Linked DNA regions of Rhinolophus ferrumequinum. The protein of the gene in region 1 interacts with the protein of each later gene in a pairwise test. Links are inferred from orthologs where the notes say so. Each region holds a gene or a part of one and is shown in the gene's direction. Other genes may lie near its edges.

Region 1 (7,524 bases):
AGCATACTTATGTTCTTAGTTATGATATTTAAACAAGAGTTTGGTCCTTTTATAGGAATAGTATATCAAAGTAACTTATAAAGGGAATTTGCTTTTCAGGAACCTGAGTAATATTGCAAACCTAGTAGCTTGATGCATTTCTGAGGAAAGGGGTTCTTCATGGCTTGAGTATCAAAGGCCTTAGGGAGGAAACTAGGAACACTTTAAATTTGACAAGAGAAATTACTGCTGGGCTAGAGAAACAGAAAGAACAAATTTGGTTAATCAGAAAACTTTTGTAATACTATTCTTAGGTGACAGCATATAGCCCAGGTTCATCAGGTCTTATGCAGAATGAGCAAATGTTGTCTGAGGTGATTTAACAGGAAAGTTATCTTGCTTTTTTAATGACTACAGCGTAAGTGTCTTGCGCTCTTCTGCAGTTTTCTGTTTGAGAAGAATCAAAACCACAAGTATTATGAATCCTAACTCTCTCAGGGGGCACTGCTAATTAGCAAACTGGACAGCAGGGTTGTCGTTGATGCCCAGGGGTGTTAGCTCTGTCACCTGCAATCACTGATAATCATACTGTCCATTCATGTATTAATGAGCCTCACTATATATAGATAGGGAGAAAAAGAACATCTGTCACAGTCTCAAATTAATCAGTTTAGCCATCAACTAATGAGTTGCTGAATAAAATATCAATAGTGTTTTCTAATTTGGGCCTAGGACAAAGCTGTTGCTTGTCATAGAAAACAATACTTAAATATAGCACATTATAATTAAAGCAATTTCTTGCATACTTTTCATTTTATTCTTAAGACAGTTATGTGAAGAAGGCAAAGTATTGTCTTTTTTCCCTTTCTTCCGCCTCTCCGCGCCCCAACTCCTGTTCAAGCTGTTGTTTCCCAGTCTAGTTGTGTAGGACACAGCTCCCTAATCCATGCTGGTATTATGAGCTTTGCGCTCCCCTCCCAGGCAGTCGGTCACCAGTCTTCGGTTGCCATTCTTCAGTCCGCCGCTCACAGCAGCTCATGGCACCCCAGCTCCAGGGAGAGTTGTTCAGTCTTAGCTGTAGAGGGCACAGCTCACTGGCCCATGTGGGAATTGAACCTGCAACCTCGGAGTTAGGAGTATGGTGCTCCAACCACCTGAGCCACCTGGTCGGCCCTGTCTTCTTTTTCATAGAAGAAATCCCTGTTATAGATGTTAAGGTTTTTGTCTAGCCACACACAAATAAGTGACAGAACTGATATTAGACTCTTAGTAGGACTCGTGCATGGGTTCAGATAGATGTGAAGGTTATTACAAAGAGGGGAAAGCAGGAGCGAAACTGGGGCTTTGGAAGTCTTTTGGAACACACTGGAGTAGGATAGCTTGGGTGCTCCTACGAGGAAAGGTCTAGAAAGATGACATATCAAGACTTCATAAACCCTAATTTTCTACTTCCAAATCAAACATCTAATAAGGTAGCATACTTCATAGAAAAGCATTTCAGCTGCAGTTACCAACTTGAAAAGCTAATAGTAGGAGGAGTTTGTTATCCCAGACTAGAAATGCATTTCCTACCAATTATAAATTTTATGTGGGGCTATGTAGCAATGTCATTTTTGAAAGGATTTCATTTTCTGTGCATGTGTTCTGCTTCAAGTGTCACATTTCTAGTTATAATGATTTATTGTAATATTTGCAATTCCTTTTAAAACTTGCCTGGTAGAGTTGTATTGTACCAACTTTTGTAACATACGGAAACACTGTATGATCTGAGGTCTTATCAACCTGAAAACGGAACATGCTGACATCTCAGAATTTTAGACCTGCTTACTATGCCATCTTTATTGATCCCTGATAATAAATGTAGAAAGTATCTGAGTATTTAAAGCAAGTAGAGTCAATCAGTGTTTTAAACATAATAATACTTCTATGATTCAAACTGAGATCATATAAATCAAAGCAACAATTTGGATTTTTGTAAACAATATTGTAACCTTCACAAAAACAGATGGTCCAACCCCAGGAACAGATGGTAACTTGGGCAGATCTGTGGGGAACAAGAGGAAGAAACAATTGTTCTAACTGCCCACTAGGAGAGTGGTTTCAGCTACTACAATTCTCAGCCTTTGAAAGCAACAAGGGAAGAAAGTACTGTTGGTCCCTGTGGCTGTGCAGATACCTACCTCACAGAGTTGTTGCAGAAGATTGACAGTTTGTTCAAACTTTGTGATTTAAGAGTTTGTCAAGAAGTTATTCTTTTGAATAAAAGCAATATAGCTAAAATTAAAAAGTACTTGTTATCTTCCTGTTTCTTTAATATTGTTTGCTTTCAAATTCCGAACTCCTGAAATAGTATTCAATATAATGGTTGCAATGGCTTTCTTTTTCATTAATGGACATGAAGTATTTTGTCACATTTCTAATTAATTTTGCTTAGGTATTTTTAAATTTAAAAAGTAGAAATGCTTTTGAGGAGAATTTGATCTGGGCAATCTATATTAATTCTGGACAAGGGTGGAATTGGAATTAAGAGATTAGGCCTGCACCCTGATTCCCCACACCTATTCCTTTTGTGTGTATTTGATAAAGGAAATGTACTTTCCTGAGACTGTGTCTCTTATGTTTGCCTCTCTCCCTTCTCTCTGAAACGAAATGTACTTCAGGCTCTTCCATTTTGCCAAACAGCAATCCATAAACCTGCGACTGAGTCAGAATAGGAAAGGGCACTCACTCAAAGTTTGAAGACCCTAAGACTTGTCTCCCAGGACCAGGCCAGTAGGCTTTAAGGGCTGTTGACAATCACAGAGATAAAGACAATCATTGAAATTTTGTGTTCTATCAGAACCAGCTCATTTTTATGGCATCAATATTTAAGCACTAAGTCCAAGACTGCAAGCAAATTTGAGGTGTTATCAGTCACTGTCATCTTTATCTAATTGCATCCTCTGACTCATCCCATGTCCCAGATTGGTGCATGAGAGGAGTAAACATTGTCAGAAAACACTGAGCATGTTTGAATACTTACTTACTTTTTAAGAGTAGTGCTATTTGGCTGTAGGCCTTTTGATGGGAAAGTAGTATGTGACATAAGAGAGGGTTAAGGGCTAACGATGTTTTAAACTCACTTGATACGTAATAGTTTAGATTTCAATGTTTTAAAACACAAAGTTAAAAACTACTTAAAAATACCTGATATTCAGATCAAAACATTCACCCTTCTAATCGGTGCTAGAGAAAACCTGGAATTTCTAGCTACATGAAAATCTTGTTTCACTAATCCTAGAATATTAACGTTGTAAGGGTCCTTACAAATTGGCTAGTTTTTGTATTTTCTCTGAAAATCAGGTGAAAGCTATGGATAGCTCCCCAGAAGAATGCATACATACACATGTATGTATAATTTCAATTTATTTTCAGGGGATTCAAGAACTGACCATTCATGGATTCAAAATTAAGAATTCCTCATTTCATGCTACAGCCTTACTCCACAGATGAAGATAATGAGACCCATAGAGAATGAATGCTAGAGTATCTTTTTAAATAAAAATTGTTTATAGAAAAAGAAAGCATAGTTGGGTAGAAATTAAAACCTAAACTTAGATATTAGTGTGTTCAAAAACATCTTTAGCCCTCTCCTATGTCAAAACAAGGGTCTTATTTTTCCTCAGTTTATTAAACAAGACAAAGTTTACCTTTCTAGAATAATTGTAACAAAACTTTTTTAATATCAAGGGTGACATCTTTTTTCCTTAAAAAGTGTTATATTAGTAAATAATTATCTCTTGGCCTTTCAAGACTTTGAAAAACATCAAACTTCCAATTAACCTTCTTCAGTTTATCCCTATTGTCTTTCACTTAAATGGGCAAATGAAGAGAACAAATGAACACAAACATCGCTCATTCTCTAATAAAAGGCAGTCCTGCATATTTTGTGCGGCTCATTTGCTTAGTAAGCTGTTTTATTAAAGTACAAAAAACACCGTTTTACAAATAAATAAGGGTCAGATAATTATAAAGTGGTAATTAGTTTAACCATCACTTCAGTCAAGACACATTACCACCATCCCATAAGCCCCCTTCATTGCCTCTCCCCCAAAGTAACCTCTTCTCACTTTAGTTTTACCTAAAAGGATCGTATATTTTATTTGACTTATTCATGTAAGAACCACCTATATTGTATTAGTCATAGCTTCTTTGATTGCTGTATAGTAGTCTACTATATGACGATACAATTTATTCATTCAGTAATGGACCTTTGTGTTGTTTCCATCAATATTTTTACAAATCATATACAATCAGTTCAGTAATGGACCTTTGTGTTGTTTCCATCAACATTTTTACAAATCATATACAATCAGTGGCTGCCCTTTTAAAAAAATGGGCGCAATTACCCAACGACCTCAGCTTTACACCTGTCCTCCTTTAGGCCAGCAGACCCAACAGACCGTATTGTTCTCCACGCTAAACCCCCAGATAAATTAACTCAAGAAAAGGATGGCCGCGGAGCCCGATCCGGGTTCACGTTCCGGTCCCCTCGCCTCTACTCCCAGGCTGTTTCTTTCTTCCTTCCGGAAGCTTTCTTCTCCCGCCCACTTCCGCAACGCTGAGCCCGCCGGGCAACACGCCGGGTCTCAGCCAATCGTCTGCTTCTCAGGGAACGTTACCTCTGACCTCAGGGCTAATCACAGACGGTAGGACGAACTCCTCGCGAGAAGTGAGGTTGAAGCTGCCTTCGCCATCTTGGAGATGGGAGTGGGGAGATGGCTGTGGTCCTCTTGCTACTGGAAATAACAAAACGGGCACATTAGTCACTTCCGAGTGAAGCTATCTTCACCTAACTGTTGGCCAAAGCTACAGAAGAAGTGAGGGTGTCAAAGCCGACCGCAGCGACACTGATAGCAGCTTCACCTGCCAGCTGCGGCGGCAGAAGTGAAGCGACGGAGGACCGAAAGGATGGTGCAGTCCTGCTCCGCCTACGGCTGCAAGAACCGATACGATAAGGATAAGCCCGTTTCTTTCCACAAGTAAGTACCCTTCGCGCCTCGCGGGACTGGCCCCAGCTCGGGCTGGGGGCGCGCGTCCGTTCAGGTTCGGGGGCGGAGCCAGGCGCGTGTCCGCGCGAGACCTAACGAGAGGGGCGGAGGCAGGGGCGGGGCGCGGCCGGGCGTTCCTCCGGTGCTATTCCAGGCGGGGAAGCGGTGGGCGTGCCCGCTTGTGATCTAAGCCCGCGCCGGGTAGCCCCGGGCTGCGCGATCTCGGCGCGCGTAGCCGTAGTGATCGTTTCTCGAGTTTGAGGATCCACTCCGGTGCGAGGTTTGCTCGCTGCCTGGGGTTGGCGAGTTTCGGACCCGCGAGCAATTCCAAGCGAGTCCCTGCGGGTTGTGAGGTCTCCAGACCGCGAGGCATCTGGATTTCACTACCAGGTCATAGAGAAGCCAGGTGGTAATAACTCTTTAGAAATAAATTTGAAATAGAAACAGAGACCTTTAAAAAGAAGTCATTCTTTTCATCCTTGCTGTGGATGTTAGGCCCAGCATCACTATGGATTGATTTTTGGCCAGGATTTCAGGGAGGATGTTTTTGACCCAGTTTCTAGGAATCAACCATTAAGGATCTCTTACGTTTTAGAGACCGTTTCTAGTGCTGCTAAGATGAAGAGTATATGTTTTCAGCACACTGTGATGATAACATGGACAATAATAATACGGACCATGATAAAGTGCTATGATAAAGGTCAATGTGAGCTATTGTGGGTGCACAGAGGAAGCCCGTAGAATAGAACCTACCCCACAGCCTTCAGGACTGTTTTATGCTGAAGGTGCTGGCAATTAGAGTCCTAGAGGGAAAATGTTTTCTTGAAAAGAAAACCGCAAAATGGAAATGACTTAATGATAAATACCTGCAAAATGTGCGAGGTGACACGATAGCATTTTCATTCAACCAAATTCTACAGTATTTACAAGTTTTATTATGTTTACGTCAAATTTTTGCAAGAATTTTCTGCTGTAAATGATGACAGCTAAGAAATTAGAACCAGTGGTGAATTACATGAATTACTCATAGCTAAATAGTTACAATAGCACAATTTTAAATATCAGGTTTTTATTTGGTGGAAGTCATTTATGTTTAAAAGCAGATGTGGATGCATTTTTTACATTCTTGATATAATACAAGAGGGACCATACAGAAATAAGAGTGCCTAGAGCATAGATGTTGAGTGTTGATTTTTTCCTCTCTTCTGAGAAGGAGCTAGAACATTTACCACTTCTAGGATTCAGTTCATTATATCCTAATATTACCTCTTGAATTACTGGAATTTCTGAAAGCTGATGAATTGACCTTTCCAGGACTTTGAAAGTGTAGGAATAGGTCAGGAGGTTGTAACACAATCACACGGGTTCAGCTCCCCGCCTCCCTGTTTCTCATGATGTTTCAAAGGGAATCTGAAAATATGGAAAATCCTTCATTGACACTGCAAACTAAAAGATGACATTCACTCATCAGAATTACTGAGTTTCTGCTGGCTGTTAAACAATTCATTCAACCAAAAGAAGGGCTAACCCTGTGCATTTCATCCCTTAGCTAAAAGAACAGTTTTTGAGGAGTAGATAGGAAAGATTTTGATAAAACCTCACAAACAACCTGAGCACTTGTAGTGCTTGAGTCAGAAGGCCCTATATGCTAAATTTTACCAATGATTGCTACCATACTTTGCACTGGTAGAGGCCGTTTCTAGCCAGAATCTTCTAGGAGTACTTCTTTCCCCAGTTTCTACATGGTGGCAGTGGGAAGAGCTATGCCAGGCAAAGAAAAGGGACTTTCGTAAAGATTGGTTAGATCTTCATGATAATAACAGAGTAAGGTTCTAGCATACCTTACATGGGAAAAACTGGAACATAAATTGGAAACATCCTTCTTTGGCTTCTTTCCAGTCCCCCCCAGCTTATTAAATCCTTGACCTGGAAAAATAAAATCACAATAAATTTAAACTCTTCCTACGTCCCTTTATCTGGCCTACTGGACATATTCCAGTAGATAAAGAGGTAAATCAAAATGAGTTTTTAAATTCTTTAATGATTTAAGTATATAATTTGATTATTCCTTTTTGTCAGACTGATTCTAAGAGAACTAGAAGCTTCCTATTCTCAGTATTTAGATAATAAACAGGCAATTTTGTTTTACAGTACACAGAAAATTACTGGTAAAAAAAATACAGATTCACCCTATAGTATACATTTTATTTGAAACTTTTAGTGTCTTCAATGTAAAAATTTAAACAATAATAAATGAGATAGATAAGAGAATTACACGATTTACCCATGTGTATTTAGAAGTGTGTGGAATACCGTGTTTCCCTGAAAATAAGACTGGGTCTTATATTAAGTTGTGCTCCGAAAGACGCATTAGGGCTTATGTCCAGGGTATGTCATCTTGAAAAATCATGCAAGGGCTTATTTTCTGGTTAGGTCTTGTTTTCAGGGAAACATGATACCTGCATTTGTTATTGAAAGTTTTTTTACTCTAATGAAGGGGGAAAAACAATATACT
Region 2 (7,123 bases), on another chromosome or scaffold:
GACCATCGTGGGCACTGAGCGAGGCCCCCTGGCGGTGGGTCGGATGAGTGCCCAGGAGGGTGTTCTGGAACAAGGCAGGTGGGTGGGTCTGAGAAGGTTAAGTGCCGCTGTCCCCCACCCTGGGGGCTCCTTCTGATTCGTTTCCACCTCCGATCTCTAATAATAAGGAGCCCTCCTCGATGGACACGTCCACATAGCTCACAGCCTCCAAACCCAGCCTGGCCTCCCTGACTTGGCAACTTTTTCTGGGGTACATGTGGCCCTCAACTCGGTCCCATCTCAGCAGTGGTGGAGGGTCTGTGGGCCCTGCCTGGATCTAGGGGGTCCGTGTCAGGGGAGACCAGTCCGTGGCCTGTCTGTGGGGCTCCCCTGCACGGCAGCAGCTGCTAAATGTGGGTCCCTTCCCATATGCCCTTGCTGCTTCCTTCTTCCTTCTTGTTACACGTACTTACTGAGCACCTACTAGGTGTCTTGGGGTCGGGGGATGCGGCAGGGGACCCAGGCCACGTTCTCAGAGAGTCTGTGTGTATGGTTAGCGTGTGCCCGGTGAGGCACGTGTGAGCAACCTCCGCGTCCCGTGTGACTGGGGCGAGTGGGTGTGTGCATGTCCAAGACTTACGAAAGAGGAAGTGAGTCTCTTCACCTGGAGAGGGGTGGGTGGGATGTGGAAGGACCCAGCCCTGCTGGGCGCCCTATGGAAGCCTCGGCCAGGCTTCCGTGACACCTGGATACAGAACCCAGGATTCTGTCACCCTCTGGGCGCAGCCCTCTGAGGGCACAGGAGGGTCTGGGGGAGGAAGTCCTGAGGTTGGGTAAGGTCCCTGAGGGGCCTGGGGTAAGGTGAGACTGTCCTGAGCAAGGTTCTGGGTATCGTGAACTCATAAGGGGCCCCAGGACCAGGGACTTCTAAGGTGGGGAGTCGGGAGTTTGGGGCTGGCCAGTGCGACACCAGCTTGAGCTCTGGCGAGGGTGGGACCCACCTACAGCCTCCACGAGTGAGGCGCTGTCTGCAGGGCTAACCACAGTCCCACTCCAGCCACTCCCCCGTGGTGGTGGGAACCCACTGGACCTCCCTAGGGGGTGGGTGGTGGCTACCTGGCCAGCAGGCTGGCCTATGGCTCACTCCCGCCACCTAGAGGCCAAGGCTCAGGGTGGGTCCCAAAGGCCTGGGGCTCCACAGCGCCTTGGTCTCCTTCCTCCTCCAGCCTCTGCTGAGATTTGCTAGGCGCCTTGCAGGCTGTCTCCGTGGCCGACGCCGGAGGCTGTGGAGGTGGAGACCACCTGGCTTCTCACAGAGGAGCAAGGGCCCAAGGTGGGCCGGCAGCCTGGGCCCTCCACTGCCGCTGGGCATGGGAAGGGCCCTAGCTGGGCTGACGGCTCCTCCTTTCCTCCGTGCCCTTACTGGTGCCACAAAATGGGCAGTGCCCAAAGTGAAATTCATAGGGTCACAAAGGACACCAATTGCTCCGAAACAGTTACCAAAGTGTTTTCTAAAATGTGTGATGCAGAAAACTGAGTTCCCCGCTGCAGTGCGCTCGTGTGTGCTGTGGTCAGTGCCCACCCTGCTGAGCCGAAGAAAGGACCCCTTCCGCTTGAGAGCACTAGGATTCTTTCCCACTGATTCTTTTCGCACGGGGTTGGTCCCTGACCCTTAGTTCAGACCTGCCGGGGTCTCCTTCCCACCCCACCCAGCCCACCACCTCAGCTCCCAGACCTGCCCTGTCTCCATCTCCCCGACCCCATGGCACCTCTCCTGTGACCCCCTCTGCCCTCTCGGCAGCTTGAATGTCATAGTGGCTGGGGTACAAACTCCAGGCCACTACCCACCTCCCCGTCCTGGGACACCCTCTGTACCCTTGGGACACCCTCTGTACCCTTGGGACACCCTCTGTACCCTGCCACCTGTAGACAAAGGACAAAGTCCCCAGGGCCCCACTCGCACTCCTGGGGGTACAAAAGGCAGGGGTCTTCATTCTTAACCAGCTCCCTAGTCATGCTTGAGTCACCGCGCTAGCACACCTTTGTGGCCTAAAACATTCAACCCAGCCAAACACTTAGAAGCGTCCCTTATGCCAAGCCCCTTGCATGGGAGCGTGGGAGACGTTCCCTCGCAAGGCTGTCCATGCAGGGCCAGGGTAAGTCCTCAAGCTGGTTTTCTGGGGTGTCTGCATGCCCGCTCCCCTCCCCAGCACTTTGTGCTTATCCGTCCCATGGAGATCACATGGGGACTGGCCTTGACACTGGCTCTTTGTCCAGGGGGCTGTGCTGATGGCCCAGACCCTGCTCCAGTGGACGCCTGGGCCAGAGTTAGGTGTTTCGAACAAACCCTTCTTGAAAGCCCAAGTGATGCATCTGAGAGGCCTGTCCTGATCCTCTCCTTTTGGCTGTAATCTTCGGGACCTGAAGCTGTTCTGAGGTCTCTTGGACACGCACCTCCGTGCTCCAGATGGTAGAGGCTGTGGGCTCTGCTCCATGCTGATCATCTGGGTTGACACTCCCTCCCCTGTGCTCTAGCCTTTGCTGAAGCTGTGGCTGAACTCTGTGTCTCAGGATCCTTTGTGGCACTTGGAAGCGTCCAGCATGAGGGGAGTCCCCTCCAAGTGGTCCTCGAACCAGCTCACCTGTCGGGGAGCTCCTGTGGGCTTTGGGGAGCCAGTTCTGAGTCTTTGCAGCCTGATCTCAGAGGTTGAGTTCTCTGGGGTTCCTGCTGGTTATTGTTTTACAAGATGCTGGCCAGCTGTCTGTTGAGAGGGAGGTTGAAGGGTGTGTGGCTGGACCCTCAGAGGCTGCACACTCACTTCGACCAGGTGATTCTGGCCACGAGGACATGCTTGGTTGGGCTGGGCTCAGAGCTCTGGCCCAGACTCACAGTGAGGGGCAGAATCAGAGCCGGACTGTAAACCGGAGGTGCTGTGTTCACCTGTCACAGGGCGTCCGTTCTGGAAAACCTTTGCTTTTTGAATTCCACACTTTTTCCTTATAATTACTAAGGAATCTCATAACCTACCCTGGTTCGCTTTTCAGTTTGGCTGCCGGGAAGCTCAGTTGCATCTAGTTAATGCCACTCAGAGTCCAAGGCATGGTCAGCCTACGTCATCTGGACAGCCCCTCTCCCACCTGGCCTCAGTTACTTGGCTTGAATTTCAGTGGCTGTGGGGCCCACAACTGTAGGCCCTGTCCCCTGGCCTCTACCCTCCCCCAGAATTGTGCCCCTTCCAGCACACCACCCAGCCTCTGCATCACTGAGGAGGTGGTACCCGCCTGGTGGAGATGCTCCCCTGCCCTCCTCCTCAACCCTCCCGGGGCCAGGCCATCCCTTCAGCTGAGTGCAGTAGGGCCCTTCCCAAGGACCTCCAGCAGCAAATTGCTGACACTGTCTCCTGCCCTGAATAAGCTCACAGCAGCCCTGTGAGGTAGACACCGAACACATCCCCATTTCACAGACAGGGAGACGGAGGCACAGAATGGTCAATGACTTGTTTGAAGTGACAGCCAGGGATTCACACCCACTAGCTGACTCCGGGGGCAGGGGCCTTGCCCACGCAGCCCCTGCAAGTGCCCTGGCACCTTCCTACCCCAGCTCTGGCTTCTACACTCCGCATCCAGCTACTGCTCCCTCCCACCTCAGGCTCCCCAGTCGAGGCCTCAGAGGCCAGAATCTAGGCCAGAGCTCAAGGGAGTCTCCCGCAGGACTTCGCTGTAGGGCAAGGGAGTCATGGTCCGGCTGCCCCCGGACAGCGGAAGGTACTAGAGGAGGGCTTAAAGGGGATGGAGCAGGGGAAATGCCTTCGCCAGCTCCGCGTAGTCGGGCCCCCGGCCGCTCCCGGGCGGAGGGTCCGGAGGGAGGCTCCGTGGTCCACGACGCAGCCAGCACGCACTTCCTAGCCCCACGGGCCACCGCAGCGCCCTCCACGGGCTACCCGGTCGCGCGAGGGCTTGTGGGACTGAGAGTCGTTCGGGCCCGTAGGCCTCGAGACGGCCCGCGTCAAGACTACCATTCCCAAGAAGCTGTGCGCGCCCGCATGCTCCTGGGAGGTGTGGTCCAGGGCGGCGAGGGAGCGCGCCAGACGGGAGGGAGCGGGAACTACATGTCCCAGGATGCAGCGCGGCGGGCGCGGGGCTGGGGGTTTGAACCGAGGGTCTCCCGCCCGCTGCAGGGCTGCGTCGGCTGCGGCGGGTGCGGGCGGCGGCGACGGCCTTGGCCGGCGTCTGGGTCGGGAGGCTGAGACTGGCGCGGCGGGCGCTGGGGGCGCTGCCCCTGAGGCAATGATGGGCAAGGAGGAGGAGATTGCGCGGATCGCCCGGAGGCTGGACAAGATGGTGACCAAGAAGAGCGCGGTGAGGGGCGCGGGCCGCCAGGACCCCGGGACCCCCGCCCCGCCGAGCCCCCGCCGAGCCTGCCGAGCCCCCGTCAGGGCCGGGGAGACCACCCGGGGTGCAGAACGAGACCCCGCCCGGGCAGAGACTCCCGGGACGCGGGGAGACCCCGCTGGTGGCAGAGAACCCTGCCCTGGGCCAGCCCTGCCCTTCACCCTCGCACCCACGGCAGAGGCCGCGATCCGGCCTGGACCTTGTCCCAGCAACCACCCGCTCTGGACTCAGACCCCAGCTGCCAGGCTGATACCCCGCAGGCCTGAGATCCGCCCCCTTTCCTGTCCCCTAATCTCAAAGCCCCTCCGGGAGCCGGGCCAGCGGAGACCTTCCTGGGCCCCGCCCCTCCAGGCCTTGCGACGCCCCCGCCTGTTCAGCCCTTTCTTGCTGGCCTGCTCGCCCCCGTGCTTCCCTCCTTCCCTTCCTGGGCATCCTCAGGGCACCCCCCCATCATCCCCCTACCCCAGGTCTCCCACACCTATGCTCTGCCTGCGAGAGTTTAGAGTGTGAGACTGGCCCGCTTTTGCCCCGGAGCCTGAGCCTCCCCTGCCTCTGCCGGGCCTGGGGCCCGGCCCTCGTCATCTTCACAAGCAGGTAGAGGCCTTTCCTGGTCCTGAGGGCCCTTTTCTTCTCTGTCGCCGCCCCATAAGAACCGGGTTTCCTAATAAATTATTTCCCTTCTTTAGCCAGAACTCAGCTAGCAGCAACTGGGGAATGGGTAGGCAGGCAGGGACACTGGGGAAAGGAGCCCTAGGAGGTCGGGAGAGACCCTGGCCAGCTGTGCCTGCTGTGCCGCAAGCGAGCCTCTGGAGGTCGCTGTGCCCTGGTCTCCGAGGGGCCAGCCAGATGTGGCTCCAGTTCCAGCCCCCCTCCGCTACCAGACCTTGGCGACTGCATACACTCACACGGAAACATCCTTGGTGGGTGGTACCTGCCTCCAGCGTGAGTGTGTGTGTGTGTGTGTGTGTGTGTGTGTGTGTGTTCCTGGCTGGCTCCCTGGGAGGCTCAATACACACCAGCCGTGCTCCCCTCAGACTGCTTTTGGGGCCAGCGGAGCCGTGGCCCCAGAGGTGGGTCCAGGGGGCTCAGTCATGGGCTTTCGAGACCTGCGCAGCCACCCCATGGCTGTGCTTGTACTGCTAATTTGGGGGTAACTTTGGGTTGAGCCTGGGTCCCTCCTGACCCTGGTTTCGGACAGGCGTCTACACTGGATCTTGGCCAGGGGCTGGCTCCCACTCATTCATCCGGCAAGCTACCCCCCATTGTGTTCCTACCCTGGGAGGCCCTGGGCAGCGCTGAGCAGTGGTGTGGAAACTAACCTCTAGAGTTGACCAGAGAAAGAAGCTACTCCCCACCTCCCCATGAACGGGACAAAACAAACGACCGCTCCCCTGTGGGGACAGAGATGGGCCCACCAGAATGGTGTGTGGGGGTATCCAGGTGGGAGCCCAGCATGAAGCTCCAGGGGAGGAAGAAGGGGAGCAGCTGTGGCAGGAACGGTGGCTGGGGGGACTGGGGGTGCTGTGGGGTGAGGAGTCAGCTGGCAGTACTGGTGTTTTCACTGCCTGCAAGTCCCCTGGGGGGTCAGGGACTTGTTTAGGCCTCTCTGGTCTGGAGCAGGACGAAGCCTGAGGCTCCTCGTGAAAATGATCAGTTAGCAGCACTGTGCTGTGGGCTCTGGTGACCATCTGTCCCTGCTGAGATCACCCCAAGGCTGGACTCCACAGCCCCAGGGGCAGGGCTTGCTGGAGGCCATGAGGAGGGTGCTGTAGCCTGAGCAGAGATGCCACCCAGATTGGTGGCAGTGTGTGTGTGGGGGTATAGGCCAAGGCTTCCCAGGACCTGGGCTGCAGGACATAAGGCTCTCACAGCCTTGGGTGGCTGGGTTGGTCATGTCTGCCTCTTCCTGTAATGGGAGACACACACACGAAAACACATCAGTGCATCAAAAAGTGAGGTGTCTGTGGAGGAAGGCAAAGTGGGGGGGTCTTGCAGTTTTAAGCAGGAGGGAGAGGACTTGCTGAGAATATCTCTTTTGAACAAAGCTCTGGAGGGAAGGAGGGCAGTCTTTGACATATTGGGAGATACGTCCGTGGCAGTGGGGGCAGCAGGTGCAAAGGTCCTGGGGCAAGCAGCTTGGCACACAAGCACTGAGGAGCTGTGCCTGGAGTGGAGAGATGCAGCCCATTTGTGCGCGGCTAATGTGAGGGCTTTGAGGAGACAGATGGGTGGGGGAGGGGCAGAGAAGGGAGCGGGGCCTGTGACAGTGGTCCAGGTGGGGGGGTGGCTGGCCAAGGGGTAATTTGAGTCCTGGAGACACCAATGGGTGGGGACTTGTAGATGCTGGGCGTGGATGTGGTGTGAGTGGAGGTGCCCTGAGGGTTTGGCCTCAGCTGCGGTCACTGTTCCTGGGTCAGACCCTCTCAGCCGACAGGTGAGCTACTTTGGGAAGAGGCTGCCTGACCCACCTGGCAAAGGACATGGGACGGACACCTTCACCAGGCTGTGGCTCTCAAAGGTGTTCCCCATCGTCCTGTGTGGGGCAAGAAGTCGCATGACCTGTGGGTGCTGGGCTTGAGTGCATAGCCACTTCCCTTCTCATTCCCACCCTCCCTGAGCACCTGATTCCAGGTGGATTTCCAAACTGTCACTGCCTTGTGATCTCAATGTCATTTACGAAGATACCCCTTCTCCTCCTAGGAGGGAGCCATGGACCTGCTGCGGGAGCTCAAGGCCATGCCTGTCACACTGC
Region 3 (8,166 bases), on another chromosome or scaffold:
AGGCCGGGATGTCCCCACTCTGTGAACCCCACGGGAACACAGCTCCTTCTTCCCCGAGTACCTATGTAGGAGTGCAGGAGTTTGTACCCTCAGGTGTCTTCCCTCAGTCCCGAGGGTTCTGGGTCCCCCTTCCATCAGACCCAGGAGTCTCGGCCCTCAGCACCTCCCCCCTTGGTCCTGAGTTGGGTTCCACCTCCTGGATGTCCCTAGGAGGCCATCTGTGTTCCTCCATCTGGGGTTGTTCTCTCTGTCCAGTGCCTCTGAGGCGCTTAGCTGTCCGGGTCCGCCGGAGGCCGCGCCATGAATGACCGAAACAGTCGGAGGAAGACACGTGAGGAAGCTGGGACCCTGCCCCACCCTTGGTCCACAGCCACTCTGCCCACTTCTGCCCTCTCCTTCCCAGGGCTGCTGTGGTTGGGGGCTGGTCTGAGGGGCCCGGGGACTTCCCTGGGCTGACCCCAGGCTTCTCCTCTCCAGTGAAGAAGGACGATGAGGCCTTTGAGATCTCCATCCCCTTCGACGAGTCGCCCCACCTAGACCCACAGCTCTTTTACAGTCTGAGCCCCTCTCGGGGAAACTTTGAGGGTGAGCTGGGGGTGGGGGGAGTGGGAAGGACGCGAGTCAGCTGGGGTGCAGGGCCCTTGAGGCCTGGGGTGTGACCAGGGTCCCCCACTGTCACTAGAGCCTCCGGAGGCTGCATCCCTGATGAACAGCGTCAGGGCGCAGCTGCACATGGCCCTGGAACGGAACTCATGGCTGCAGAAGCGCATCGAGGACCTGGAGGAGGAGAGGGACTTTTTGCGGTGTCAGCTGGACAAGTTCATCTCCTCTGCGCGGATGGATGCAGGTGAGGTCACCCCATGAGGCTGTCCCCTCAACCGACTCCTGGGCCCTGACACCTAGCTCTGGCTCTTTTTGGGGACACAGGACCCTTTTCACCCACACATTCTTTGGTGGCTCAATGGGGACCTGGCATCCCCATGGTGTCCTTTAACCCCGTGGTGTCTCTGGAACCCCAAGTCCAGCTTCATTCCTGCTTCTGTTGGTCGGCAGGACCCTGTGACCCATCCCTCCTGCAGAGAGGGCTTTCCTTTGCCAAATCTTTAGCCATGTTTTGGAGAATCTCGCCTCTACACTCCCTCTCTTGGTGCACAGCCCCTGACTGGCTCCCTTGCAAGCTTCCACATCCTTCTCTGTGAATTCCACTGAAAGCCAGGACGAGGAGCCTGTTTTTCTTTTTTTCCTTTCAATATTGATGTTATTGGCGACCCCTGTGCTCTGGAACCATCTCTAGCTTGGGTTGCTGGGACATAGTGTTGTCTCCCCACAATGATCGGAACCTACCCAGGATGGTCAGGCCCAGTGGCCTCTGTACTTTCTCAACACTGGACCTCCCCCAGCCCACCTTCTGGGGGTCCTGCATAGAGCTTCAGCGCTCCCTCTTCTAGGTGGAGGCAGGCACCTGCCATTCCCAGCCTACTAGACACAGAGCCTAAGATTTCTCTCAGGCTCTCAATCCTCCACCCCAGGCCTTTCCTGCCCCTAGGGTGTCCTGAGTCCACTCTTCTGGAGGTCCTCCACTGTGGGAACCCCACATAGTCATAGATTCTCCTGAGGTCCCCGGTCTGCTCTTGGTCCATTTGGTTCGTCCTCCAGACCTCTTGCCACCAAGTTTAGGAGTCCGCTGAGCATCCTCACCCAAGCCACAACCCACAATATCCACCCCCAAATCCCAGCTTACTGTCCTATATTCAGCTATCTCTTGCAGGGACCTAATTTCCTATCTACCGGTTTTCTTGGGAGGCCTCCCTTCCTGGGGACCTGTGCGATGTGACCTCCATCCCCACCTTGCAGACACACCTCTTACTTCCTCCTCCCTCCTGTTCCTGCAGTCAATGTGTGTTTGTTATGTCTCTCCCACCTCTCTCCAGAGGACCACTGCCGGGTGAAGCCTGGGCCCCGGCGGGTTGAGGGCGACAGCCGGGGTGGGGCTGGGGGCGAGGCCTCAGACCCTGAGTCGGCAGCCTCCACGATCAGCGGAGTATCTGAAGAAGGCAGTAACGTCGACAGGAAGAGGCAGAGGCAGAAGGGAGGCCCTAGCCGGAGGCGCTTTGGGAAGCCCAAAGCTCGGGAGAGGCAGCGGGGTGAGCTGGGGGCGCGGGGTGCAGTGTGAGAGCTCTGGGCTGAGACTTGCTGTGTCACCTCCCTTCCCTATTTGTAACAGACCAGACCTGCTGGTGGGTTCCAGCCTTCATGTGTGGTCCTGGTTCATACTGTACATTTTGGTCCACCCTCTCTAGACCTTCCCGAACATCAGTAACAAGGGGAAGGGCGATGGCTCAGGTGGCTGGCAACTCAAACCTCTGACCTGCTCTCCTGTTTGTATTTTCCTCCTCATCCTCTCCTCCCGGCCTTCCTTCAATTTTCCTCTCCCCTAAATCCTGTCTCCATTTCTCACATCTCTTCACCGCATTTTCCTCCCGTTTCCCGTTTTGTTCTCCTGCTCTTCCTGTATTGGGCTCCTTGGCCACATCGTCCCTGTCTGTCCCTTTGCTCTGTGTGAGCCCCTCACCGCATCTCTCTTGTCCTCACATCTGCCCTCCCATTTCTGTCCCACTTCCTCCACATTTGAATTCCCCCTGTGGATCTGTCATCTCATGTCTATCTCCACCCCCTCCAACCTCCTCTATCTCCATTTCTTCATCACGTCTGTATCTTCCCATGTCTGTCTCTCTCTACCGTATCTCTATCACCCCTCCTTGGCCCTGCAGTGAAGGACGCAGACGGTGTCCTCTGCCGCTACAAGAAGATCCTGGGCACCTTCCAGAAGCTGAAGAGCATGTCACGGGCCTTTGAGCACCACCGTGTGGACCGCAACACGGTGGCGCTGACCACGCCTATCGCAGAGTTGCTCATTGTTGCCCCTGAGAAGCTGGCGGAGGTGGGTGAGTTCGACCCCTCCAAGGAGCGTTTGCTGGAGTACTCGCGCCGCTGCTTCCTGGCCTTGGATGACGAGACCCTCAAGAAGGTGCAGGCCCTCAAGAAGAGCAAGCTGCTGCTTCCCATCACCTACCGTTTCAAGCGGTGATCCCGCCCACCTGGCCCGGGACCTGCCCTCCGACTCCCACTTCCCTTCCCCTCCACCTTACCTGGAACGTGGGCGAGTGTGTGCATGAGTGGTGTGCCCTCGCTAGGGCCTGGGGGTGGATGGTGTGTTCCCGCGTGTGCCTCTCTCCTCTCCCTCCTGCAGACCCCCACTCCCACTCCTGGTCCCTTCTATACAGACCTGTCCTCCTTGCCTCCCACATTCCCAGCATCATCCCCTCCCTCTGCATTCCCAGCGTTGGGGGTCCTCACTTAGCCAGGCTCCCAAGAGCTACTCACTGCCCAGGAGCTGGGTTCTGCCCTTTCCTAAACACTGGCACCCTTCCTGCCCTCACTGGGTCCTTCCTCCTGGGGAAACTGCCGGATTCTACGGGGCGGGGGCCCTGTACATACCCGTTCTCCGCCCCCAGCCCCGAGGACCCTAATTCCGGACCCCCCAGTCAACGTGAAGCAGATTATTATTCAGAGAATTTAAATTAAAAAGACGATAAAATTTGGAATAAACTAGGTCCCGGCCTCTTTCTGGGAGGGGGTGGCCGTTGCCCTGGAGACAGTGACAGAAGCCCTGGGGCTTCCAGGAAGCAGGCGGTCGGGAGGAAAACCGGGGAGGTTGGGGAGACAGGGTGTAATTAGCACCCCCGTAGGCATTGGTGGGAGGGGGAGTAGCAGCTGTGTTCCGGGAACACGGAGGGGCAGAGCTCTGGAAAAGAGGAGTGAACACTACCCATTGGGCTGTTTGGACTAGAGGCGCGGCGGCAGGAGGCAGTACTCAATGACCTCCAGCACAGGCGGCCACCGTGGCGTGGGAGGGTGGGAGGAGCTCCTCTGGGAGGAGGCTTCCGACCGCCCGCTAGGAGGCGGTAGTGGGACATTCAGTCTCCTGGAAGCGTCCTCGACTTTGCCGGCGGCCGCACTTACGCGGTTGCTACAGCAACCAGGACCAGGCGGCCCAGCTTAACAGTCGGGAATTCAGCTTCTTCCCTGGAAGAAGGGAAAGTCTCGCGCACGCGTGCTGGAGGCTCTGGAACCCGTTCCTCGCGGAGTGAGAAACCGCGCCTCAGACCAACGTCTACGCAGGTGCAGAAGGCCATCTCGCGCCCCTCCTCTTCCATCCTGCGCAGGCGCACAAAGCCGCGCTACCAACCTCCGCAGCGGCTGCGCGCACCGTTCACCCCGCTGGCTGCTTTTGTCTCGCGCAACCTTCTTAGGCCATCCACGAGATCGGCCCTTCTTTTTCTCCACTCTCCCCACCCGGAGAGCCAGGAGTCCGGAGCCGGGACCCCGCCCCTTCCCCGTATCCCTTCCCTTGACCCACCTCGTCTTCGTCCTCCCTCCCTTTTCTGTTCCCCAAGCCGGAAGGAGCCGAAGAACAGACGGAAAAGGCCGAAGCTGTCTCGGTGAGTGGGGCCTTTCCGAAGCGGTGGCGGAAGGAGCCGAAGCTGTGCCAGTGGGGAGGAGTGAGCCAACGGAATCTCCGGAAAGAGCCGAAACTTGGAATCTAGCATAATCTCTGCGGGGCCTGAGGGCGAGCGCTGGAAACCTTCGGGAAGTGCCGAAGACTAGGACGATTAAGCTTGTCAGAAGTAGTGGGTTGCTCAGATAGGGCCGGCGGATAAGAGCGGGGAGCCCCTGCGGAAGCAGTGAAAGACTGGGACGTTTTGAATTGTCGGAAGAAGCCGAACCTTTGGCGGGCAGAGGGTGGTTGGGTGCAGAGGAAGGCGAGAACCTACGGAAACACCCGAACGTTGAAGAGACAATTTCCGAAGAGTTTACAACCTGGGAACTCCGCGAAACCTTCGCTTCGGGTGTTTTCGGAAGCTGCCGAAGACACCGCACCCGACTCCTGCCTCTACAGTCCGGAAATAGCCGACGCGCTTCGGAAACAAGCTCTGGGGGAGGGGCGCTTTGCGGGCGGGCGGGCGGGCCGGCCGGGAGAGGGGTGGAGCCGGGGCTGGGCGGGCGGCCTGGGCTTGATTAGGCAGGAGGAGGCGGCGGCGCGCTGGGGGCGCCCGGAAGTAGCCGAAGCGAGCGGCGGAAGTAGCCGAAGCGGCTGGAGCGGGCGGGCGGCAAGGCGAGGCGAGAGCTGTACAGGGCCTACACGGCCGCTTCAGCATGTCGGACTTCGACGAGTTCGAGCGGCAGCTCAACGAAAATAAGCAAGGTGAGGGCGCCGGGGGCGTGGGGCGGCGGGCGGGGCGGCTCTTGGCTTCCCTCCGTGTCCCCCGCCATTTTCCTCGTCGCTTCCCCGTCCTCTCAGGGCCGCGCGGCACCCCCCCCTCCGTCCCGCGGCGCGCACTCGCTCACGTGACCGCCCGGCGTGCCTCCGCGCGCGGGAGGGGGTGGCGAGCGCGGGCCCACACGCATGCGCGTCACGTTCCGTTCCGCGCCCCACGTGGTTCCCGGCGCAGGTGGCGCGGATGGGAGGGCCCCGGGTGTCCCCTTGCGGACTCCTGTTATTGCTAATCTGAGGAAGAGAGTGTATATATCGGGTCCCGCGATTCCCCCCTTTACTCCCGCTTCCTTGGCACTTCCGGTTCCGGCCGGGCCTGTGGCCTGGGTCTCCACGCCCCCTTTGTTCCAAAATGGCGGTTGTGAGCGCCCCCCTCCCCCCCACCGTTCACGTGGGCTCGGGCAAGGCGGCGGCTTGGGCCGGCCATTCTCCGACGGCTGCTCTTTGCGCGGTGTCCTGCGGACTCGCTCGTCAGGGTTCCCGCCCTGGCTGCTGGTCGTGGGGGGCCTCGGGTCACCGCGTGTGACGCGGGTTCCCTCGTGAAAGGGGCACCCTGTGTTTTATTTTCCACCCTGTGCATTCTTGAAGTATTTCTCCCGCACGTACGTTTTGCGTACACGCGGGCTTTGGCAGTGGCGACGATCACAATGTGGAATGTTTGTTCCCAGTATCCCCAGCTAGAGACAAACACCACGTCTTCTATCCCAAACTCGGGGCATCTAGACTGAAGCTCATAAATCATCTCAACGTAGAGATGGGGAAACGGAGGCTCTTGAGAGTAAGGGGACCTGGGCCAGTTGAGTACCGTAGGAAAGGGTGGGCGGCAAGTACTTGTAGGTGATGCCCAGTCAAAGCACGGGACCACGCGGGTGCCGGTCAGTTGAGGGACTCCAAGAATATTGGAACTGGGAGAGTCGTTAGACGTTTAAAAACTCCTTGACCTTCCTGTTTTGCTTTGAGAGTGAAGAAACTTAGGCTGAGGGAAGGTGGAGGGACTTGAGGCTTAAGATGCCCGTGTTTGGCTGGCCGAATGAGAGGGGCAGGACTTTCCCTTGAACCCAGCCTAGAGTTGAGTAACGGGTAGCTGCGTTAGGAGACAGTGCCTGGGGAAGAAGTCCCGGTTTTTGAGTGCCCTCCGCATGTCTGTCTTCACTCGTACTGCTTAACAGCACAAGCTTGGAAGTTGGTCGTACCTGAGTTGAAAGCTACTTTGTTGCTTAGGTGTGCTACTTTAATTCCTTTGTGCCTGTTTGTTGTCGTCTGTTGATTAATATGGTTTTCACGATTTTTGAAATAAGGATGATAACAGTTAAACTCTGAGCGCCTGTCACGTGCTAGGCACCTTGCTAAGCTCTTTGCATGGTTTTTCTAAGTGGAGCCTTGTAACAGCCCAGTGAGGCTGAAATGATTTTCTTGTTTTTGCAGAGGAGGAAACAGATTCAAAAAGTCTGAAAATTTTCCCAGGTCTGGTCAGAGGCAGACCTGAAATTAAATGGGAAATCGTGAAGTGTGTGGTATGTGGCTTGGCATACATTAAGTGCCCAACAAGCAGTGTTTTATATTGTGAAATCATCCTTAGTGTGATAAACTCACAGAGAGGAAGTAGAGGCAGGTCATCAGCTCCCTCAGAGGTGATGTCAGAGTTGGGGAAGGTGCATTCCAAACCTCAAATCCTCATACACCTGGGGGGAGGAGGTAGAGGGACCCTAGTTTAAAGAAGAAAAAACCAAGTTTTAAAGGTTTAGTTGTTCTTGCGTGGTTTTATATAGTTGGTAAGTGGAAAAGCTGCAACTGACCCTGAGTTCTGGCTGGGTGCATGGCTGGACCGCCAGGTGGAGATGGTTGAGCCCTTCCTTGAGGCCCTTGCAGATGTGCTTGCTGCCTGAGTGCTTGGCCCTCCTGGTACTGGGCGGCCATGCCCTCAGCCCTCACAAGTCCCCTGGGTTGGTAGCTGTTCCCAAAAGGTGGCAACAGTATTTTGAACAATCAGAGCTTCCTTTCTGTTCCTATCTGTCCGGGATCAGTGTGTGTGGGGGGAGAGGAGGACTCCTGCCTTAGGGGGAAGCGCTGCCCACGTGTTGTCCCGCCTGTAGGTCTTTGTCTCTGAGCCAGCCTCCTCCCTACTTTAGCCCCTGCCTAGTGCACCTGTGTCTCCAGGGAATTAATTTCCTGGTCTGCATCCCAGCACCCAGCAGGCATCACTGCTTCCTCTGTGTCGGTTCTTTTCTGCCTGCTTGTCTGTTTCGGAGCCTTAGCAGCAGGAAGGGCTCTTGGGGCTTGTAGCTCGCCCACCTTGTAAACATGGAGCCAGAGGCCCAGAGCCTCCTGTGTGCTTACCCGTGGCTCTCTGAGTGTCCGCTCATGTTTCCAGTCTTTGATTTACTTATGTTTTTGCCTTCAAGGAGATAATCCCATTGTCACTAGTGGTTCCAGCCAGACCCCGGAGTGTTCTGCCTGAGTTCAGGAGTGTGCCTGGTGCTTTACCGAACTTGCTGACGTGACAAAGCTCACGTTCAGGCTCACTACTTCCTTGCTTTTTAGCCTTTGCGCCAGTCATGTGACTGTCCAGTGCCACAGTTTCCCTGTCTGTTACATGAGCCCCCAGCAGGGTATTCCCAAAGCATTAGTAGAGATTAAGTGCAAGTAAAACATTTAACATAGGTTCTAGTTTTAGAAAGCATGCCATTCTTTGCTGCTGTGTCTCTTACCTACTTAGGTGCATGTTTTTTTTGAGTTTCAGGGATTCTGGAATTGAGGTACATTTACAAAAAGTTCCTGTTAAATCATATCAGAAAAATATAAGACAGCAGTGTGGATGAGACTAAAGTCCA
Region 4 (7,895 bases), on another chromosome or scaffold:
TATTTTCTGCATTTCTGTTTCTATTTTGCAAATATTCTATAATGGCACGAATTCTTTGAATACTGGAAAATAGAGAGCGGGAAGGGGCTGAAATAAATACTCTGGCAAGTGTTCAAAGATGCAATGAGGATGTTGCATTCCATATAGAAGTTTTAATAGCTCTGCTTTCTGTGATGTCTGGCAAGCACAGCATACACCTGATTTGGGAACTTCTATAGCAGTGAGCCAGGTACACCATATTTATTACAATATTTGTTTTGACCCCGGCATGTAAGTAAATCTGTTGCCATACCCATTCTTGATTAACAATTTAGTGGTTTCCAGAGGGTAAGGGAGGGGGTGGTGGTAAAAGAGGGTAAAGGAGATCAAATATAGTGATGGAAGGAGAACTGACTCTAGGTGGTGAACACAATGCAATATGGGGACAGAGCCAGGAGTGCAGTTTCCAGGCTCTTGGCCTCACGTGGAAAGGTGCTGGCTCAGGTAGTAAATGGCCATCAACTGTGATTGGATGGCCATCAGCTGTGACTAGTTGGCCGTCAGCTGTAACCAGTGAGCCATTGGCCACTAATATAACTGCCGTGGCTAAGATAGCAGCAAATGGGGGCGAGCAAGAAGATGGTGGTTGGCAAGCGCGGATTGCCGTTAGGATGTTGGGTTGCGGACAGTGTGGTTCCTGCTTCCTGTGTCTCCAGCCCAGCCGCCAGCAAGAATATAGTGTTATGACTCCCCTATCTATGGCTCCGTGAGTGTTCCTTTTTGGCCTCACCCCATCCTGCATTCTTCTGTGGGGAGCGGGACAGGAGACCCTGCATGACACCCTGAATGACAGCAATATATAGATGATGTATTATAGAATTATAAACCTGAAGCTTATATGTTACTAATCAGTGTCACCCCAATAAATTTAATAAAAAAATAATAAAGTAAAAAAACCCTCAGAAATAAAACAAAAGCACTTTCAAAAATTGCAATGGTATCATTAAAGGCAATCATTTGCTTCCTGATTTTGTATAAATCGTAACCTATATCCAAACATATGTGATTGGTTAAATATAGTATATCATGGCGTGTAATATTTTATGGATATGGGGATATTTTATAGATATGTAATATTTTATATATATGTAATATTTATAGATAATATTTTATAGATATGTAATATTTATAGATATGGGGACTATTGTTAAGCAGGAATAAAAGCAAGATAACGAAACTACATATAGTGGGATTTGGGAAAACTATTACGTAATTTTACTGCCTAGAGACCCAGAAATTCCCAAATCCTGTCTTCCTCCTACCACATCTCTTTCCTGTAAGGTCTTGAAGGAAAACATATGTGGACAGGGAAATGGCAAATGAAATAAAATGCCACGTTATTATTTATTTTGTGCCTTTGTGTCCACTGCAGAAGCTCTCTGGTAAACTGAGTTTAAGGGTCCTCCTCCTCACACTAATTTCAAATGAAAATCTTAGGATCAAATTACCTGGTAACCAGCTGCACAGTGCAGAAGTGGTGACAGGACTCTGCTACCTATAAGACAAAAAATAGCCACACTTGGGAGTATGACCACCTCCCTAGTCCAGGTGAAGCCTGGACCTGGGACATTTACCCATCCTGCTCGTCGAAGTGAAAGCAACAGTTTATATACAAGTCCTTTCTGGGGGAATCACTCCTGCCTTCCACCTCCCCTTTTTCCTCTCCCCACCCGCTCCCATCTTTTCCACTCTTCACCCTCCTCCCTTTCCCTATCTGCCCTCTCCCCTCCTCCTCCCTCCCTTGCTTTTTCTTAAACCCTCCTCCCATTCCCTTTCCCTTCCCAGCTTCTCACCTCCCTCTTCCCTCTCCCTTCTTCCACCTTCCTCCATGTTCCCTCCCCCTCCTATCTGCTTCTCTCTCCCTTGTCTGGTCTCCCACCCTGTCCCTTCTCTCTAATCACTTGAATGTGTATCCTCCAAAGAAGAGCTAAGATTTGGAAAATATAGCAGAATGTTATGAGTTAGACTTTTTTAAAAATTCCCTTTCCCTATTTTCTACTTTTTCTACAATAAGCCCTACTTTTTATAATTAGGAAAAAATGCTAGATTTTTATAGCATGATACACTTTATTTGACATTTATTTATTTTAGGTTGCAACTGAAGTACATGAAAAAATATCAAATGATGTAGTGATCATTTTCAGTGAAAGGCAAAGTAGAACACAGTACAAAAAATGTGGTTAGTAATTTAGTTTACAGTTACACTCTATAGGAGGAAACTTTTAAATACTATGTCATATTAACACTTCAGTGGTAAACAGTAACTTCAGTATGATTACATTTATAGACCACACACCGTCACATAAACAAGCTCAGTCACATCATATATAGTACTGATAGACATTCTTAAAAGTATGTTCATCTTTTTTCAAGCAAATTTCACAATGCACTGTTCTAGTTAATATAAGTACTATAGCAAAGTAATGAAGGCACAGATAGTGCAAGCAGATTTAAAGCCCTAGTCTTCTGGGCTAGAAAAAAACAAACACACACTTGTATTGTTACTTTAGTAACTTGTTTTGTTCAAGCAAATATTTGTTTGGGATAACAATTTTAACAGTTTTCACAGTTACATTCTGATAGGAACATGACAAAAGGATTTCACAAAAATCAAAACTCTGTAGCACCAAACTAACATGCTTCAGATAACGGACAGCAGTTTACAGGTTTTAAAGAATATTACTCTACAACAGGCTATATAAAATAAACTGACACTTAGACATTTTAAGACAGTATTTTAGACCACCAAGAAAATACAAAAGCACAAGGCTGTAAAGAATACTAGTGTTGAGGTTATAGGACAGGTTTTTTTTCAAGGCTATATAAACCTGCTTCGTTTCTGTCTGAAGTTTTGAGATCTTGCAAATTCTTTTCAGGTAGCTGGTTTTTTATTTTCGATATTTCCTGTTTCCATAATCTTTACCATCATCATAGGTACCTTTGACTTCTCCTGTATAGTAATAGACTGATTTCAGGATGACATTATCATGTAAAGTTCGACCAATTTCAAAGTCCTCATCAAGGATAGCATCTTCTCGTGGTTCCAGCTTTCCAATCTTAGGAATCTCAGGAGGGTTAAAGAAATTGAAGAATGATGCTTTAGGAACCACTCTGGGCCGGATTTCAATTTCTCCAGTAGCAGTTGTGCGACTCTGAGTGGTTGTCACCGTAACGTCCTTTCCTCTTCTCCAAATTATCTTACAGCCTTTGCAATCTTGAATTTCCCATCCCCAAGCAAAGAAGGGATCATCATGATCTGGTTTTGACTTTATTATATATGTCTTGGTCAGTACCTCATTTCTGAAGTATGGGTTGGGCAGAAAATAAAATTCAAATGTGTAACTTATAGGCTGGCCAGGTTTTGAGAACTTCAGGCTAATATCTGACAGGAACTTCAGAATGGGCTCATCATATTTCTGAATCCTGGGCCCCAGCTTGTCAACATTCTTTAAAACAGTTAGCCAATAGTCAGGGATGCCTTTAGGATCTTCTCTTTTAGGCCTTCCCTTACGAGCTCTTTTCAGATTCACTCTTTCTTTAGGCCTGACCTCAGGAACTCTTTTAGGAGCCTCTTTTACTGCAGCACTTGCCTTAGCCTCTGTTGCTTTAGGCTGTTCTTTATCTTCTGCCTTTGCCTGGGGAACTTCTTTAGGCTCTTCTTTTACTTCAGGCTTTGCCTCCACAAAATCTTTAGACTCTGTTCTTTCTTCAGCCTTTGCCTCCGGAATTTCTTTAGGAACCTCATTTTCTTCAGCCTTTACCTCAGGTTTTTCTTTAGGGTCGTCGTCTTCTTCCTCACCCTCTAAAGCAGGCATTTCACTAGAGCTGTCTTCCTGTACCTCCTCATCACTGCTGAACACCTCATCCTCTGAATTCCATTCACATTCTTCCTCTGTAGGTTCATATTCTGCATTGATGATTTGAAACCGCCGATCATACAGAGGCTTATTGAGTTCGGCATATTTTCTTTCGAGATCGTGAATTGCCTTTAAGAATAGGGCGTCTACCTTGTCACATTCATCTTGAATATTTCTGAGCGCCTGCACACGATTTCGAACTGCCTGAGGCAGCCGATCTACGAAATTTTTACCCGACGGAGCACGCCGCGCCCTTCTGGAAGGCCCAGGTACCCTCTTCTTTCTATATAAGTAGCTACGGCTGCGGCTACTGCTGCTGCCACTGCTGCTGCTGCGGCTGCTGCTGCCGCTGCTGCTGCTGCCGCCACTAGTGCTGCTGCTAGAGCTACTGCTATCAGATTCTTCCCCAGAATCACTAGACGAGCTAGCCATCATCTCTTCAGCAACCCCATGGGCGGCAGGTTCCGAGACCATGTTAAGATCCGCTTCTGCCATAGTGCAAGCCTGCAAACCTCTTAAGGTGGCGGCTACCGCTGAGACCGCGCGCCCAGAGATGGGCAGAAAATGACTCACGGATGCTTGGATGGCCCAGGCTCGGGATGAGGAGGCGGCAGCGGCGAAGGCAGCAGTAGCGCAGGGAGGGGCGGGGCTGCGGCGATCGCGCGGAGGTGGCGGCGGAGGCCTGACCCGAGCGGCGGCGGCCAGCTTCTCCTGGCGACAGCTATGGCGGACAGAGGCGTGCCGCCGCGGAGTGGTGCAGTGTGAGACCCCGAGATCTCTCCGCCGTTTACATCGCAAGCCCCCTCCCCTTCCAGCCCTACCTCCCCTTAATTTAGTTCCCAGTGTGCCTTTAGCTCGCACCTCATTTGTTGGGAAAGCTTGATTGACGATCGCTAAGCCCAACGAATGCGCAAACGCTGTGCGCCCCCTAGGCTCCGCCCGCCTTCCCAGATGCTTCTTGGTAGCTGGGGCACACACCCCTGGAAGACGTTTTATCCCTACAAAATTCTATCTTTATAGTTTTATAATTAAAAAAAAAAAGCTTAGATTGAGGTAAAAATACTAGCCATAGTTCCTGACAAGGGAAGAGGAGTATCCTTCTCCTGTCCGCTCATCCTGAATTCCCGTTTGATTTGTCAGGGGCCTCTTCACAAAAATCTGTTTTTAAAAACTTGGATGAAAATACTTCAAATGGCATCCTTGGGTAGTGTGATTAGGCTTTTTTTTTTAAATCTCTATCTAAATATTCTATGAGCATGTATTTTTACACTGAAAAAAGGGGGAGTCGTTTATTGGCAAAGGGGGGAGGGGCTAGAAAGCAGGCATATTGCATTCCACGTAGCAGTTTTAATAAGTGCTGTCTGTGATGTTTGGCAAGCCTGCTTTAATCCATCTACAAGGTTTGCGAACCCCTGTTGCCGTGAGTCAAATTACACCATTTTTACTATATTTCTGTTTTTCAGCTGGCATATAATACACCCCAGCCTTGCTGCTGACTTGCCACGTAGCCCTTCTCAATGTTTACAACAACCTTGTAGATAAAATAAAAGGGCATTCAAATGTTGGATAGTATTATTTAAAAGCAGAGGGTTTGCTCTATACTTTTGTGCAGCAGTTTTCAATTCTAGGAACAGAAGGATGGGAGGGGGGATTTGTGCTAGGGAAAGTGCATCATCTGTCAGAGTATACGTTACAATGTCATCTGCCACCCATTTGCTGCAAACATTGTGAAATTCTAACCGTACTCAGTATGATTTAGAAGTCCATTAATATGCAAAATGAAGTTTAAAAACAGGTATCTGTTATTTTTATTTACAGGATTCTTTCCTGCTACAGAGCAACTCCCTTGGTACAACCAAAAAGACCAGTGTTTACTTTTCATTGAAAGGTAAGGAACATATTTAGCCCATTTTTATGAATGACAAGAATTACCTATCTGTATATGAATAAATTCACAGGATGTAGTCTTTTAAAGACTTAATTGGAAGATAACTTGTTATTTCTATGAAAGCAGAAAAATCCACAGAGGTGATTTGACATACTAATGTAGAAAATAATTAATTACATTCACTATCTAAACGTGCTCATAGAATACAAGTAATAAATCAAAATATAAAATATAATGAATTATTCATTTCAAATAAGTGAAAATATGAAAGTTAGATGAACCTTTATGTTACTTTTTCATTATAGGATTTGTGCTTTGTCATATTTTTTAAAAGTTAGGAAGCACCTTTATTTTCTGTTTTGTAAATGAATTTACTTTTATTTCTGATTGTCAAAGGATATAAGCATTGTAAAGAAAAAATACAACTTAGAAAGTTCCAATGATAGTAAAAATACACAATCTTAACAACCGGATGATAACTGTTGTTAGCGTTTTCATGCATTTCCTTCCAGAAATTTATTTATACATACACACGCCTGCCTATCTGTATATACTGTTTTTCCTATGTGACGTGATATTATGTTTTGTAACCTGCTCTTTTATCAATTTATTGTGGCTATATTTTCAAGGTAAATGATCAACGTCTTATTTTAAAATAGATGCATATTCAATAGAAATATTTGCCTTAATTCATTTAACCAGATTCCTGTTGCAAGGCAGCTATTTCCCAACTATCTCTCCACTAACATTTTTTTCCAGTTATAAAAAATTAGTTCTGTATACCTACTATATATACTCGTGAAAATTAGTCATAGGATGAATGCCTAGAAATGGGAGTGCTGAAATGGTACGCTCATTTTATTCTTTGATACTTATTGCCAACTTCTCTCCTGAAAAGTTATCTCAATTTACAGTCCCACGAACAATGCATAAGAGATCATTATTTAATCATTCTGCTAATATATTTTTATGCCTGTCTCATGCCAGGCACATGTAGTAAAGGATGGCAATATAATGGTGAATAAAATTTACTGGGTGTGTATCCTTTCGTTTCATACTTTTAATGAAAACATATAATTTGGAAACAATAATTTAAATCAGTGGGGTTATGCCATAAATATTGCTCTGTAACCTGTTATTTTTATTTAAAATTATGGATATCTTTTTCATGAATGGTCTTATATTTTTATAGTACTTTAATGGCTTAAAATACACATTAAATTTTGTACCATCAGGAATTAGTATTTTGGAGTAAGCAGTGAGTTAGGGATCCAGATTTTTAAAATATGTATGTATTTTTTTAATTAGCTAATTTTCTTGGTACTGTTTATTTGATAATCTTTCTGTCTTACACTTACTTGAAATACCACCTGTATCATAATAGCTAAATCGCTTAATTTTGTTTCTGAATTCTCTTTTCTGATTCATTGGCAATAATTTTTCAGCAAGCAACTAATGAGGCAGTTTTTTTAATAGCTTTATATTTTGTGGAAATGATATACATTGAAAAGAAGACAGCTACTACAATTGAAATCCAAATAAATTAAAAGTAATTCAAAATACACTCAGAGGTGATCACTATTCACATTTTTAATGAATATCTCCAAATTAATTTGTTATTATTATGTATTTGTCTTAGATTAGTGATAAGATTAAATGTCTTTTCATGTTTATTGTACACTTGAGAATTGCCTATTCATATATTTTGCTTGTTTTTCCACTCAATTAAGAAAGAAATTAATTGGTGGTAAAATCCTAAAGGTAAAATATAATTTTGGCCTTGATTGGAGGCAACTGTGACTTATGATATTGGACAAATATGACTTAATTACAGCTTTTATTCTAAAATGATCTACTTAAAGGGTTGTTAAGATGCTTTTCAAAGATTAGTAATTAATCATTTAAACTGATACAGAAAAGTCTGGAGTGGAACAGGGAGAATAAAAAGAGAACACAGCTTGTAAAAACCTCATACAAAGATGATATATTAGTAAACTGTTCATATTTTCAATTTGAAAGTATTTTTTTCCCAAGCCATAAACTATAGGTGACTTCTTGTAACCACAATGGTCTACTTTTATTGTGCATGCATTACCTAAGAACCTAGTAAC

What was found.
Region 2: the proteins of THAP1 (region 1) and TCEA2 interact in binary tests that used the Homo sapiens proteins (3 or more experiments, as listed by UniProt). The two-hybrid records come from large-scale screens. The link is inferred for Rhinolophus ferrumequinum from reciprocal best matches to the Homo sapiens genes THAP1 and TCEA2.
Region 3: the proteins of THAP1 (region 1) and U2AF2 interact in binary tests that used the Homo sapiens proteins (3 or more experiments, as listed by UniProt). The two-hybrid records come from large-scale screens. The link is inferred for Rhinolophus ferrumequinum from reciprocal best matches to the Homo sapiens genes THAP1 and U2AF2.
Region 4: the proteins of THAP1 (region 1) and FAM133A interact in binary tests that used the Homo sapiens proteins (3 or more experiments, as listed by UniProt). The two-hybrid records come from large-scale screens. The link is inferred for Rhinolophus ferrumequinum from reciprocal best matches to the Homo sapiens genes THAP1 and FAM133A.

The regions. Positions count from the first base shown.
Region 1 is NC_046287.1:57,931,441-57,938,964, forward strand, and holds the start of THAP1 (THAP domain-containing protein 1), read left to right. Parts: upstream 1-4,379; 5' UTR 4,380-4,929; coding exon 4,930-5,000; intron 5,001-7,524. UniProt on the Homo sapiens protein: DNA-binding transcription regulator that regulates endothelial cell proliferation and G1/S cell-cycle progression.
Region 2 is NC_046306.1:142,743-149,865, reverse strand, and holds the start of TCEA2 (transcription elongation factor A protein 2), read left to right. Parts: upstream 1-4,107; 5' UTR 4,108-4,266; coding exon 4,267-4,338; intron 4,339-4,805; exon of another isoform or gene 4,806-4,965; intron 4,966-7,071; coding exon 7,072-7,123. UniProt on the Homo sapiens protein: Necessary for efficient RNA polymerase II transcription elongation past template-encoded arresting sites.
Region 3 is NC_046298.1:48,709,740-48,717,905, forward strand, and holds the start of U2AF2 (splicing factor U2AF 65 kDa subunit), read left to right. Parts: upstream 1-5,150; 5' UTR 5,151-5,217; coding exon 5,218-5,266; intron 5,267-8,166. Other genes in the region: CCDC106 (coiled-coil domain-containing protein 106), read left to right, coding at 301-331, 478-585, 683-847, 1,932-2,144, 2,772-3,088. UniProt on the Homo sapiens protein: Plays a role in pre-mRNA splicing and 3'-end processing. By recruiting PRPF19 and the PRP19C/Prp19 complex/NTC/Nineteen complex to the RNA polymerase II C-terminal domain (CTD), and thereby pre-mRNA, may couple transcription to splicing.
Region 4 is NC_046284.1:60,758,891-60,766,785, reverse strand, and holds the start of FAM133A (protein FAM133A), read left to right. Parts: upstream 1-4,879; 5' UTR 4,880-5,100; intron 5,101-5,714; 5' UTR 5,715-5,784; intron 5,785-7,895. Other genes in the region: NAP1L3 (nucleosome assembly protein 1-like 3), read right to left, coding at 2,928-4,391.